3 linked regions of the Pelodiscus sinensis genome follow. The protein of the gene in region 1 interacts with the protein of each later gene in a biochemical or structural test. Links are inferred from orthologs where the notes say so. Each region holds a gene or a part of one and is shown on either strand. Other genes may lie near its edges. The genes, in order: XIAP, septin-4-like and HTRA2.

What was found.
Region 2: the proteins of XIAP (region 1) and septin-4-like form a complex in vitro, tested with the Homo sapiens proteins (4 studies listed by BioGRID, with this or other methods). The link is inferred for Pelodiscus sinensis from reciprocal best matches to the Homo sapiens genes XIAP and SEPTIN4.
Region 3: the proteins of XIAP (region 1) and HTRA2 form a complex in vitro, tested with the Homo sapiens proteins (10 studies listed by BioGRID and IntAct, with this or other methods). The link is inferred for Pelodiscus sinensis from reciprocal best matches to the Homo sapiens genes XIAP and HTRA2.

What each region holds. Positions count from the first base shown.
Region 1 is NC_134723.1:32,366,440-32,370,183, forward strand, and holds the start of XIAP (E3 ubiquitin-protein ligase XIAP), read right to left. Parts: upstream 2,457-3,744; 5' UTR 2,336-2,456; intron 1,436-2,335; exon of another isoform or gene 1,336-1,435; intron 1-1,335.
Region 2 is NC_134731.1:15,970,291-15,974,034, reverse strand, and holds the start of septin-4-like, read right to left. Parts: upstream 2,489-3,744; 5' UTR 2,394-2,488; coding exon 2,322-2,393; intron 1,597-2,321; coding exon 1,276-1,596; intron 981-1,275; coding exon 887-980; intron 551-886; coding exon 464-550; intron 1-463. UniProt on the Homo sapiens protein: Filament-forming cytoskeletal GTPase. Pro-apoptotic protein involved in LGR5-positive intestinal stem cell and Paneth cell expansion in the intestines, via its interaction with XIAP. May also play a role in the regulation of cell fate in the intestine.
Region 3 is NW_027465889.1:426,988-430,731, forward strand, and holds the start of HTRA2 (serine protease HTRA2, mitochondrial), read right to left. Parts: upstream 2,627-3,744; coding exon 2,283-2,626; intron 1-2,282. Other genes in the region: lipid droplet-regulating VLDL assembly factor AUP1, read left to right, coding at 3,217-3,266.

The sequences.
Region 1 (3,744 bases):
TTTGCCCACGTCACAGTAGCGCTGGAGGAACGCACCCATGCCATGGCAGCCATGGCCCGGAGCTTCTCTGCATAGCCCTGGATGTGGCCCCACTATGCCCGGTAAGACCCTCCCACCATAGTTGCTTTGCGCTCAACAATGGTTAACCAGCTAAAGAATGTAATTTTAATTGCTTAACTGGTTAACTATTTTGATCGGTACTTACATCCCAAGGGCAAAGGAGTTTGAGGTTTCAGTGGGAAGGATATGGAACATAGAAGTTTAGGGGAGAGACGGCAAGCTGACAGCTCCCAAAAAAACCACACAGCCTCTACACACAGAGGCTAAGTGGGGTGAAGAGGGAAGTTCAGGAGTCGGGGTCCATGACAGGAGGTAAGACAGTAGGAGAATCTCATAGTTGTGGGAGAAGAGTACATGACAGAGGGGTAACTGAGCCAAACCACAGTGACACTGCTAGCCTATGAGCCGGGTTACAAAGCCTGAAACGGGAAGCCACGTCTAGCCAGCCCTGGTCTTGCTTGGATGGTGATATACCTTTGAGTTGCAAGCCACATATTGAGAAACTCTGGTCTTATAGACACCATAACAGTCTGTAACCTCAGCCAACACAATCTATTCCCAGTTCTGTTAACCTTCAAGAAGTCACAAACTCTATCCACAAATCACCCCTTAGGCTAAATGTATTTTGTTGATGAATGCAACAGGAAAGGTCACTAACAGATCCTGGAATTTCCCTTCACTTTTGAAAATGAGTAATATTTTCCATCCCCATGTTTTTGCCTCCCATCCAATGTTCCCTCATCTTTTTCATCTATGTGAGGATTTTTTCCAGCCTTATACTGTATAGAAAAAAAAAATTGCATCAAGGCACATGTGAACATGCATCACCAGTAAATGAACAGGAAAAAAAGCCTAGCTGTGGGCATTCAGCTAATCAGCTAGGTGGCATTTCAATCTCTCCTCAGTGGCCACATTAGCTTCACTGACAAAATCAAATCCAGATATAAAATAACTTTCTTAAAACATTTTACTGTACTTGGTTCTATAAATGGCTTCTTGAAGGAGTCAGCATAAAGATATATGTACTTCAAATGCTATAGTGCAACAAGTTTGTTAGATGAATGGAGAGGAACAAATATATTGAAAATGTTTTAAAGGTTATTCCCAGGGTGGATAAAAATCAATAATTTATTAAATAAAAAAAAAGTTTTAAATTTAAACTGGATTTGATTTAAATCACATCTTCTATTTTTAAACCAATAAAATACTGACTCTCTCTTTTAAAAACAAGTTACAATTAAATCTCATGACAAAACATGCTAAACATGCACTTACAGTCTCAGAAAATTGAATTAATGGCTCTAGTCCGTCCAGCTTAACTACTCATTCTGGCTTCTTGAAAGTTGTGGGCTTTCAATTTCTGTTTCTTGGCAGACTAAAAAGTAAAATGGGCAGAAGACAGACACATACTGGATAGGACTGTTTTTCTTCTGTGCTTATGTAGTGGTGGACCTTGGCCAACCACAGCAGAGGAGTTCGTTCAGACACTGTCTTAAAGCAGGGGTGAGGAACCTAGGGCCCGGGGACAGGTTCTAGTGGAATAAAGTGGGTTTAAATGCAAAGAACTTAAGAACTGTTTGAATTAAAGTTTGAGGCACATTTTGCAAATTGCAAAGATCTATATCCGTTGTACTCCATACGTGTGGACAAATGCCATTCATTACATTATATACCAGTTAATGCAGCAAAGCCGTAGGTGAGACACACGCCACAGTCGGAAATGGGGGAAGTAAAAGCGACTAAGCCTTAGCTAGGATGGGTCCACTTTCTCAAGGTAACAGGACGCCCGGAGGGCCACACGCAGAGTGTGAGGGGCTGCCCATGAATCAGGTCAAGCGCTGAGATCTGGGGGCCCTTTCAGTGAACACGCGTGTTTCCTTATTACGACACATTACAGGATGCGGGTGGATCTTGGAGGTAACCCCCCCAAAGGGGGATCTAAGCAATGAAAGCTGCGCTGGCAGCAGGTGAAATGAGAATCGCTGCCGCCTGCAGGGGGGAGCCCCTCTGACCGAGGGGAGGGGATCAGAGTCCGTGTCCCTCCCCCGGGCGGGCGCTGCTGAGGAGGGGCTGGGGAGCTCGGCGATGGGGGGGGGGGGAGAGTAACGCCCCCGCCTCTCCGCCGCCCAGGAGAAGGACGGTCCCGCCCGCCCCTGCTAATGCCCGAGAGGGGAGCCCAGAGACCCCCCCCGCTGCAGCCGGCCGGCCAGGCAGCCTCGTCCCCTGCCCTCAGGGCGAGCGAGCGGCAGCGGCCCGCGCCCGCGTTGTCACTCACCGCCCTGGCTCCGCGCCGTGGGCCCCGCGCGCCGGAGGAAGCCCGCGAGAAGATGGCGCTCGCAGCCTCCTGTCCGCCGGCGGCCGAGGGCGGACGCTGGGTCCCGTTGGCGGCGGCGACACCTAGCGGCGGGAAGGGCCGCGCAGGTCCCTGGAGGTGGGGGCGGGATCAGGTGAGGGCCTGGCCCAGGCGCGCGCTAGGCTGGAGGCTCTGTGCGCAGCTCTCGGGGAACTGGCAGCTCCTTCTGCTCTGCCCTGTCCCGGGCCAAGCCCCTGTCCCTCCGCAGGGCAGTGGGACCACAGAAGAGGAGGGTTACCACCACCTGGCAGGTATCTGGCTCCACTGGCTGTTTTGGGGGTAATGTTTTAAGGATTTGCATTTGGCAGTTGCCAAAAAACAAACACCCTCCCCCCCCCCCCACTAATTTAAGCGGCAGGGTTTGGGGTTTTTTACATGGGGGCTAAAGAGTCGCATTTTTTGCACTACATGGGATCTCTTAGATTAATAGTTTCTGGGGCCAGCGAAAGATGCTACTGTGTTCTCACTTCTGCAATTTAACAAGCGGCAACAGATCAAAATTGTTGGTAATACAGCAGCTGTGTGCCCACCAACACTGCAAGTGTAAGGCCCATGTGGGAGAGGGTTTGAGTCATGCAAGAGTGAGGAGACATGCAAGGTTATCAATCTTAGGTATATGCAGAGGTGAAAGTAAGCCAGTACATAAGAGAGTGGCCAGCTGGGGATAGGGCTCTGGATGTTGCCAGCTACTCTGCATGGGTAAGATTCTGGTACTGGGCATGGTTGGCCCACTTCTCCCATTCTGACCTTCATCCCTCATAGCCAGAGAGCCAGAGTCCAAACCACTTCCACACATCCTCTCCACCCTTGTTCGCAACACCAAACAGCTGGGGATGGGGAGAGAGGGCCCCTGCCCTGATGGGCCCAAATCAGTACTCGCAGCTCCAGGACAGCACAGTCACAGTGCACTCAAGCTCCAGCCCCAAATTTCCATTCCCTGCCTTCATCTTGCACCTTTTCCCTTACAGATCTTCCCCACTGTTGGCACAAGAACCTTCTCTGCAGCCTCTGCCATTGAGAACAGTTTCTCACCACAGCTCCTGCCTTCCAATCTCATCTGAAAACATCTCTGCCCTCACTTTCTCTCTCCCTCCACTTATTTAAATTATAGCATTGCATCCTCTTAATTTCATTATCTAAAGAATCTGGGGATACAGAATACAGAGGCAGAGTGCTCTCCCTAATAAAGTTGATGTGTGGTACAATATTAGGGTCTGCCTGATCCCCCAAACCATTACTACCATGTGTCATCTTCACTCCCCATGATTACTCCTGTATGAGTAATGATTAGGGTATAGGGACCTTAGTTCCACTTTTGATAGACCAATATC
Region 2 (3,744 bases), on another chromosome or scaffold:
TCCCCGAGGGAAACAACAGCCGCCAGGCCCCTCCCTGCGCTCCTCAGCCTGGGTCCCTCGGCCCTGGCAGAGCACACAGCCTCCCGCCAAACACCCGGCTGAGCAACAGACGCTCCCGTGGGCCAAACCCTCCGCCTCTGCGCAGCGCTAGGGCTCCTTGGGCCAAAGCAAGCTCCCCCAGCCCCCATGGGAGCCAGCCTGGGCCCCAGGGGTCTGAACGCCACAGAGGCGTCCAAACGAACAGCACCAGAGGGCCCAGGCACACAACGGTCATTTGCTAAGAGGCCGGGGGGGGGGTTACACCCCAGGGTGCTGCCCTGCCGCCTGCGCCAAGCTGGGACAGGATCTCGATCAGGGATGAGGCCTGCCGGGAGGGCAGGGGACTGGATTCGATGACTCCCGAGGTCCCTGCCAGTCCTAGTGTCCCGTGAGTTGGGAGGCCGGCAGTGGTCCCTCCTCTCACCTTCGGCACTGAGCAGTCTGCGGTCCCGGTACATGTCCGTGAGGAAGAGGCTGTTCACCAGGGTGGATTTCCCCAGGCCAGACTCCCCTAGAGAGCAGAAGCAGAGGGGTCACGGAGCTCCCAAGCAAGGCAGGAGGGCCCCTGTCCCAGGCCCTCGAGGAGACAGGATCTGCACCTGCTGCTCCAGGAACAAAGGCAGCACCGGAGACCCTGAGTGTCGGGGATTTCTGCCGTCAGCCCGCCCCAAAGGCAGCTGCCGCGGGGCCTTGGCTAGAGCCCGGGCACCCCAGGGCCTCTGGGGAGAGGAATGGGACGCACTTCTGCTCCACGGCTGCCATGGCTCCTACGGAGCGAGGGTGACCTGCCCTGCTGGGGTCTCTTCTCCCTGGGAATTCCCCCAGTGCTCCCTGCCAGGGCGCCTACCTGCCACCATCAGCGTGAAGTCAAAGCCCTTCTTCACCGACTTCCGGTGGACCTGATTGGGGAGCGTCGCGAACCCCACGTACTCCTTATCGTCCTGCAGGGGAGAGCGGCGTGAGTCGGGAGGAGCGCCCGCTGGGGGGGAGAGCGCTCGCTGGCCTGCCCCGCGCTAGCGCCGCTCTTGGCCAGGAGCCCAGGGGAAAAGCCTCGTGTCCCCGGCCTCAGCGTCGGGCCCGCTCCTGGAACTCCCAGGGAGCTGGGCGCACTCGGCCCCGGCAGGATTTCGGGTGAGCCCTGTCCTCATGCAGAGTCCTGGGGCCCTGGCGTCTCACGGGCAGGCCCCACAGCCCTGGCTCCCTAGGCCGGAGAGGCCTGCCCCAGGTGCACCGTACCTCCAAGGAGTCGTAGGGATCCAGCTTGCCCCAGGGGCTCCTGGGCCGTGAGGGGCTCAGTGGTGCCGGAGCCGCGATGTGCTGCTGCGGGCAGTCCAGGGGCCAAGGCCGGGAGAAGGGCTTCAGCTCCCTCTGGTCTAGCAGCTCATTGGCCCCGGGCCGGGCTACGCTGGGGACCTCGCTGGGATCCACGTGGCCCTGGCCAGGGGCCCTCTGGCCCTCCTCTGGCTCCGCTCTCCTAAAGCTCTCGTCCGAAGGGAACTCCCTCAGGAACTGGGCCAGCTCGGCCTCCTCCGAGTCTTCCTTCAGGAAGCGCTTGATCTGCAGAGATGGGGGCAGGGCAGAGAGAGGAGCAGGCTGGTTTAGAGAGTTAGACACGAGGGAGCGAGAGCCGCGGAACCAGCCCCTGCGCGCAGCCTGGTCATTCCAGCTCAGGGCTTGTTACCTGCGTCTGCAGGTTACATTCAGCTCAGCAGTTGCCCCATGGGCTAGCCCCATAGGAGTCGTTAGTGCGACGCGTGCAAGGAAGGCACTGTGCACTGCTAGCCCTGTAGGAGGCATTAGTGCAAGGCGTGCAAGGAAGGCGCTGTGCACCACTAGCCCTATAGGAGGCGTTAGTGCAAGGCGTGCAAGGAAGGCGCTGTGCACCGCTAGCCCTGTAGGAGGCGTTAGTGCGAGGCGTGCAAGGAAGGCGCTGTGCACCACTAGCCCTGTAGGAGGCGTTAGTGCAAGGCGTGCAAGGAAGGCGCTGTGCACCGCTAACCCTGTAGGAGGCGTTAGTGCGAGGCGTGCAAGGAAGGCTCTGTGCACCGCTAGCCCTGTAGGAAGCATTAGTGTGAGGCGTGCAAGGAAGCTGCTGTTAATAATCGTATGCCCCAAGAAGGCCTAGGAAAGCATGGGGAGAGTCAGGACACTGAAAGATCTTCCTTGCACCCCAGGGATTCAGGGCCCCCGTGGCCAGCGTTGGGGTCCCCGGGGAGCGGGGTGGGATGGCCTGGGCTGGAGGGACGTTCCCATGCAGCTCCAGCGGCAGCTCAGACTCTTACTGCTTGCTCGCCAGGGGTCTCGGCCAGCTCCGTGGCACGCTCCGGGAGGCAGGGGCTGCCTCCTTCCCCCATGGCCGGCTGCGCTGCACAGGGCGGGGGCTCTTCGGACACCCTGGGAGCAGCTGCGCCCCCTGCCCGCTCTGCGGCCTGAGTGCAGCGGGGTGGGGCGAGAGGAGAAGAAATCGAGTCAGGGACAAGTTCAAAGGCCGCGGAAGGAGGCTGCTGGGTGGGAACCTCCCCTGTCCCCATCCCGAGCTGCCCAGCTCCTGAAGGCAGCACCGCCTGGCTGGCCAGTGAGCCCCTCACAGCCTCACTACAGCCGCGACAGCCCCCCACCTCCTGCTCGCAGACCGGCCAGGGCTGATGTAGGCCCCACAGCTCTCACCTTTGGATACCTCCTCTCCCATCCCTGGCCTGGTCCAGCAGAGGCAGGAGCCTCCCAGGGCATCTCAATGGCCCGTTTCCATGGGCTGAGCCTGGGTAGGTCTGTGTGACATGCGAATATCTGCACTGCGCACAGCCCTGGATACGTGGGACGCCTGTGTGACAGACGGGTATCTGCACTGCGCACAGCCCTGGGCACGCGGGACGCCTGTGTGACAGACGGGTATCTGCACTGCGCACAGCCCTGGGCACGCGGGACGCCTGTGTGACAGATGGGTATCTGCACTGCGCACAGCCCTGGGCATGCGGGACGCCTGTGTGACAGACGGGTATCTGCACTGCGCACGGCCCTGGGCATGCGGGACGCCTGTGTGACAGACGGGTATCTGCACTGCGCACAGCTCTGGATACGTGGGACGCCTGTGTGACAGACGGGTATCTGCACTGCGCACAGCTCTGGATACATGGGACGCCTGTGTGACAGACGGGTATCTGCACTGCGCACAGTCCTGGATACGTGAGACGCCTGTGTGACAGACGGGTATCTGCACTGCGCACAGCCCTGGGCATGCGGGATTCCTGTGTGAAAGACGGGTATCTGCACTGCGCACAGCCCTGGGCACGCGGGATGCCTGTGTGACAGACCTGTATCTGACCTGCGCACAGCCCTGGGCACGCGGGATGCCTGTGTGACAGACGGGTATCTGCACTGCGCACAGCCCTGGGCACGCGGGACGCCTGTGTGACAGACGGGTATCTGCACTGCGCACAGCCCTGGACAAGCGGGACGCCTGTGTGACAGACGGGTATCTACACTGCGCACAGCCCTGGGCACGCGGGATGCCTGTGTGACAGACGGGTATCTGCACTGCGCACAGCCCTGGGCACGCGGGACGCCTGTGTGACAGATGGGTATCTGCACTGCGCACAGCCCTGGGCATGCGGGACGCCTGTGTGACAGACGGGTATCTGCACTGCGCACAGCCCTGGATATGTGGGACGCCTGTGTGACAGACGGGTATCTGCACTGCGCACGGCC
Region 3 (3,744 bases), on another chromosome or scaffold:
ATGCTAATCAGACAGTCGAGTCGACTAGTCACTCCTCTGCTTGCTGCCTCTATCAGATAGAAGCAGCAGCAAAGGGGAAGGGAAGAGGGGGCACTTTAAAGTGGCAGCGTCGAGGCATTTCAAAGGGGCAGCGCCGCATGGATCCCGTGGTCAGCTGAGGACTCTTGTACATTCCAAAGCTGGCACACTTGGGACCAAGGGGAAGTCCTGCTGGCCCTCGGCTGCATGCAGAGTTCCAACTTTGAAATGCACAAGAGTCCCCACTGGGGCTTTTGTCCATTTCAAAGGAGAAATGCGGAAGTGCCTAAGGACTAGTGGATGGAAATTCCCCTACCACTGTTTAATCAGATAACTAGCTCCCCTTAACATTCAACTGGTTAACTAATTAAGTGGATTTTACATCCTTACTAGAGAGCACCCGACCCAAGAGTGATACACACAAACACAGCAGCAGGGGTTTCTATGCAGCCAATCAAATGACACATACTTAGGGAAACACTTGGGGGTCAGTATGGGTGGGGCGGGGAGGGGAGAGGAGGGGAAGCAGATTTGAAGAATGGGGAAAGTTTCTCTGGAAGAGGAGAGAACAAGGTGAGAGGAGAGATGGTACAAGGGCAGGAAGGGGTAAGTGGCAGGTCAGATTCACAAGGGGCAGTACTGGGAGCAGGTTGAAGCCAGGCGATGCTGCGGGGCGGGGAGAGCAGGTCGGGCAGTAGCTGCCCAGGATCTCCATGTAGACCAGCACTGGGGCAATACTGGGAGGCGGTGGTACCAGCTGGGCCAGGAGGGTCCAGGAGAGCGTGGGGGGTACCTGCCCAGGATCTCGATGTAGACCAGCATGGGGGTTCGGGGGGGGGGGGGGGGGGTACATGCCCAGAACTTCGATGTAGACCACCGCAGGCACGGTACCAGGGGGGTCAGGAGGGGAGTCCCGGGGGTGGGGGTGGTCCCAGGGGACAGGGGAGTTCCAGGGGGGCGGGTACCTGCCCAGGATCTCGATGTAGACCAGCGCGGGGGGGTCCCGGGGGGGCGGGGGGATCCCGGGGGGGCGGGTACCTGCCCAGGATCTCGATGTAGACCAGCGCGGGGGGGTCCCGGGGGGGCGGGGGTGGTCCCGGGGGGGCGGGGGGGGCGGTACCTGCCCAGGATCTTGATGTAGACCAGCACGGGGGGGTCCCGGGGAGGCGGGGGGGTCCCGGGGGGGGCGGTACCTGCCCAGGATCTCGATGTAGACCAGCGTGGGGCGGTCCCGGGGGGGCGGGGGGGTCCCGGGGGGGGCGGTACCTGCCCAGGATCTCGATGTAGACCAGCGTGGGGCGGTCCCGGGGGGGCGGGGGGGTCCCGGGGGGGGCGGTACCTGCCCAGGATCTCGATGTAGACCAGCGCGGAGGAGTTCCGGGGGGGCGGAGGGGGTCCCGGGGGGGGGGGTGGGCGGTACCTGCCCAGGATCTCGATGTAGACCAGCGCGGGAGGGTCCCGGGGGGGCGGGGGGGTCCCGGGGAGGCGGTACCTGCCCAGGATCTCGATGTAGACCAGCATAGGGGTTCGGGGGGGGGTACATGCCCAAAACTTCGATGTAGACCACCGCAGGCGCGGTACCAGGGGGGTCAGGAGGGGAGTCCCGGGGGACAGGGGAGTTCCAGGGGGGCGGGTACTGCCCAGGATCTCGATGTAGACCAGCGCAGGGGGGTCCAGGGGGGGGGCGGTACCTGCCCAGGATCTCGATGTAGACCAGCGCGGGGGGGGTCCCGGGGGGGCGGGGGGGTCCCGGGGGGGGGGGCGGTACCTGCCCAGGATCTCGATGTAGACCAGCGCGGGGGGGGGGTCCCGGGGGGGGGGGGGCGGTACCTGCCCAGGATCTCGATGTAGACCAGCGCGGGGGGGGTCCCGGGGGGGGCGGTACCTGCCCAGGATCTCGATGTAGACCAGCGCGGGGGGGGTCCCGGGGGGGGCGGGGGGGTCCCGGGGGGGGCGGTACCTGCCAAGGATCTCGATGTAGACCAGCGCGGGGGGGTCCGGGGGGGGCGGGGGGGTCCCGGGGGGGGCGGTACCTGCCAAGGATCTCGATGTAGACCAGTGCGGGGGGGGTCCCGGGGGGGCGGGGGGGTCCCGGGGGGGGCGGTACCTGCCAAGGATCTCGATGTAGACCAGTGCGGGGGGGGTCCCGGGGGGGCGGGGGGGTCCCGGGGGGGGCGGTACCTGCCAAGGATCTCGATGTAGACCAGTGCGGGGGGGTCCAGGGGGGCGGGGGGGTTCCGGGGGGGTCCCGGGGGGGGCGGTACCTGCCCAGGATCTCGATGTAGACCAGCGCGGGGGCGGTTTTCTGCACCACGTCGGCGATGAAGTTGAAGGCGGCGCGGGCGGAGCCGGGGCCCGGCGCGGGGGGGGCGGGCGGCGCGGGGGGGGCGGGCACGGCGGCGCGCACCCGGGGCAGCAGCGCGGGCGGCTCCCGGCCCCAGAGCAGCAGCAGCAGCGCCCCCGCCCCCGCCCCCGCCAGCGCCCAGCGGGCCCGGCCCGCGCGAGGGGGCGGCCGCGGCTCCCCCCGGCCCGCGCAGGGAGCGGCCCCCAGGGCCCGGGCCGGCCCCCGCCAGGCCGCGCGCAGCCACAGCGCCCGGGCCGCCGCCATGCTCAGCCGCGCGGGGCAGGCCGGGAGAGGCAGGGAGCCGCGCGGGGCAGGCCGGGAGACGCTGGACGCGCCGCGCGGGGCAGGTCGGGAGAGGCAGGGAGCCGCGCGGGGCAGGCCGGGAGACGCTGGACGCGCCGCGCGGGGCAGGTCGGGAGAGGCAGGGAGCCGCGCGGGGCAGGCCGGGAGACGCTGGACGCGCCGCGCGGGGCAGGCCGGGAGAGGCAGGGAGCCGCGCGGGGCAGGCCGGGAGACGCTGGACGCGCCGCGCGGGGCAGGCCGGGAGAGGCAGGGAGCCGCGCGGGGCAGGCCGGGAGACGCTGGACGCGCCGCGCGGGGCAGGTCGGGAGACGCTGGAAGCGCCGCGCGGGGCAGGCCGGGAGAGGCAGGGAGCCGCGCGGGGCAGGCCGGGAGACGCTGGACGCGCCGCGCGGGGCAGGCCGGGAGAGGCAGGGAGCCGCGCGGGGCATGCCGGGAGGCTCGTTCTGGCGCACGCGGGTTCCCTTTCCCAGAGGGCCCCGCGCGCAGGGCGCCGCCGTGGGTAAGATGGCGGCGGGTCCTGGGCCTCGCTGAGGCGGTGGCTCGGGACCGGGATGGAGCCTCCTCCCGCCTCGAGCCCTGAGCGGCTCTTCGACGCGCACCGGTGAGAGCCTGGGGGGGGCGGGCGGATCGGGGGGGCTCGCTCTCCTGGGGGGGGCGGGAGGATCGGGGGGGCTCGCTCTCCTGGGGGGGGCGGGAGGATCGGGGGGGCTCGCTCTCCTGGGGGGGCGGGCGGATCGGGGGGGGCTCGCTCTCTGGGGGGGGCGGGCGGGCTCGCTCTCTGGGGGGGGCGGGCGGATCGGGGGGGTCTCGCTCTCGGGGGGGGGGGCGGGCGGATCGGGGGGGTCTCGCTCTCCTGGGGGGGGCTGGAGGATCGGGGGGGCTCGCTCTCCTGGGGGGGGCGGGAGGATCGGGGGGGCTCGCTCTCCTGGGGGGGGCGGGCGGATCGGGGGGGGCTCGCTCTCTGGGGGGGGCGGGCGGATCGGGGGGGCTCGCTCTCGGGGGGGGGCGGGCGGATTGGGGGGGTCTCGCTCTCCTGGGGGGGGCGGGCGGATCGGGGGGGCTCGCTCTCCGGGGGGGGC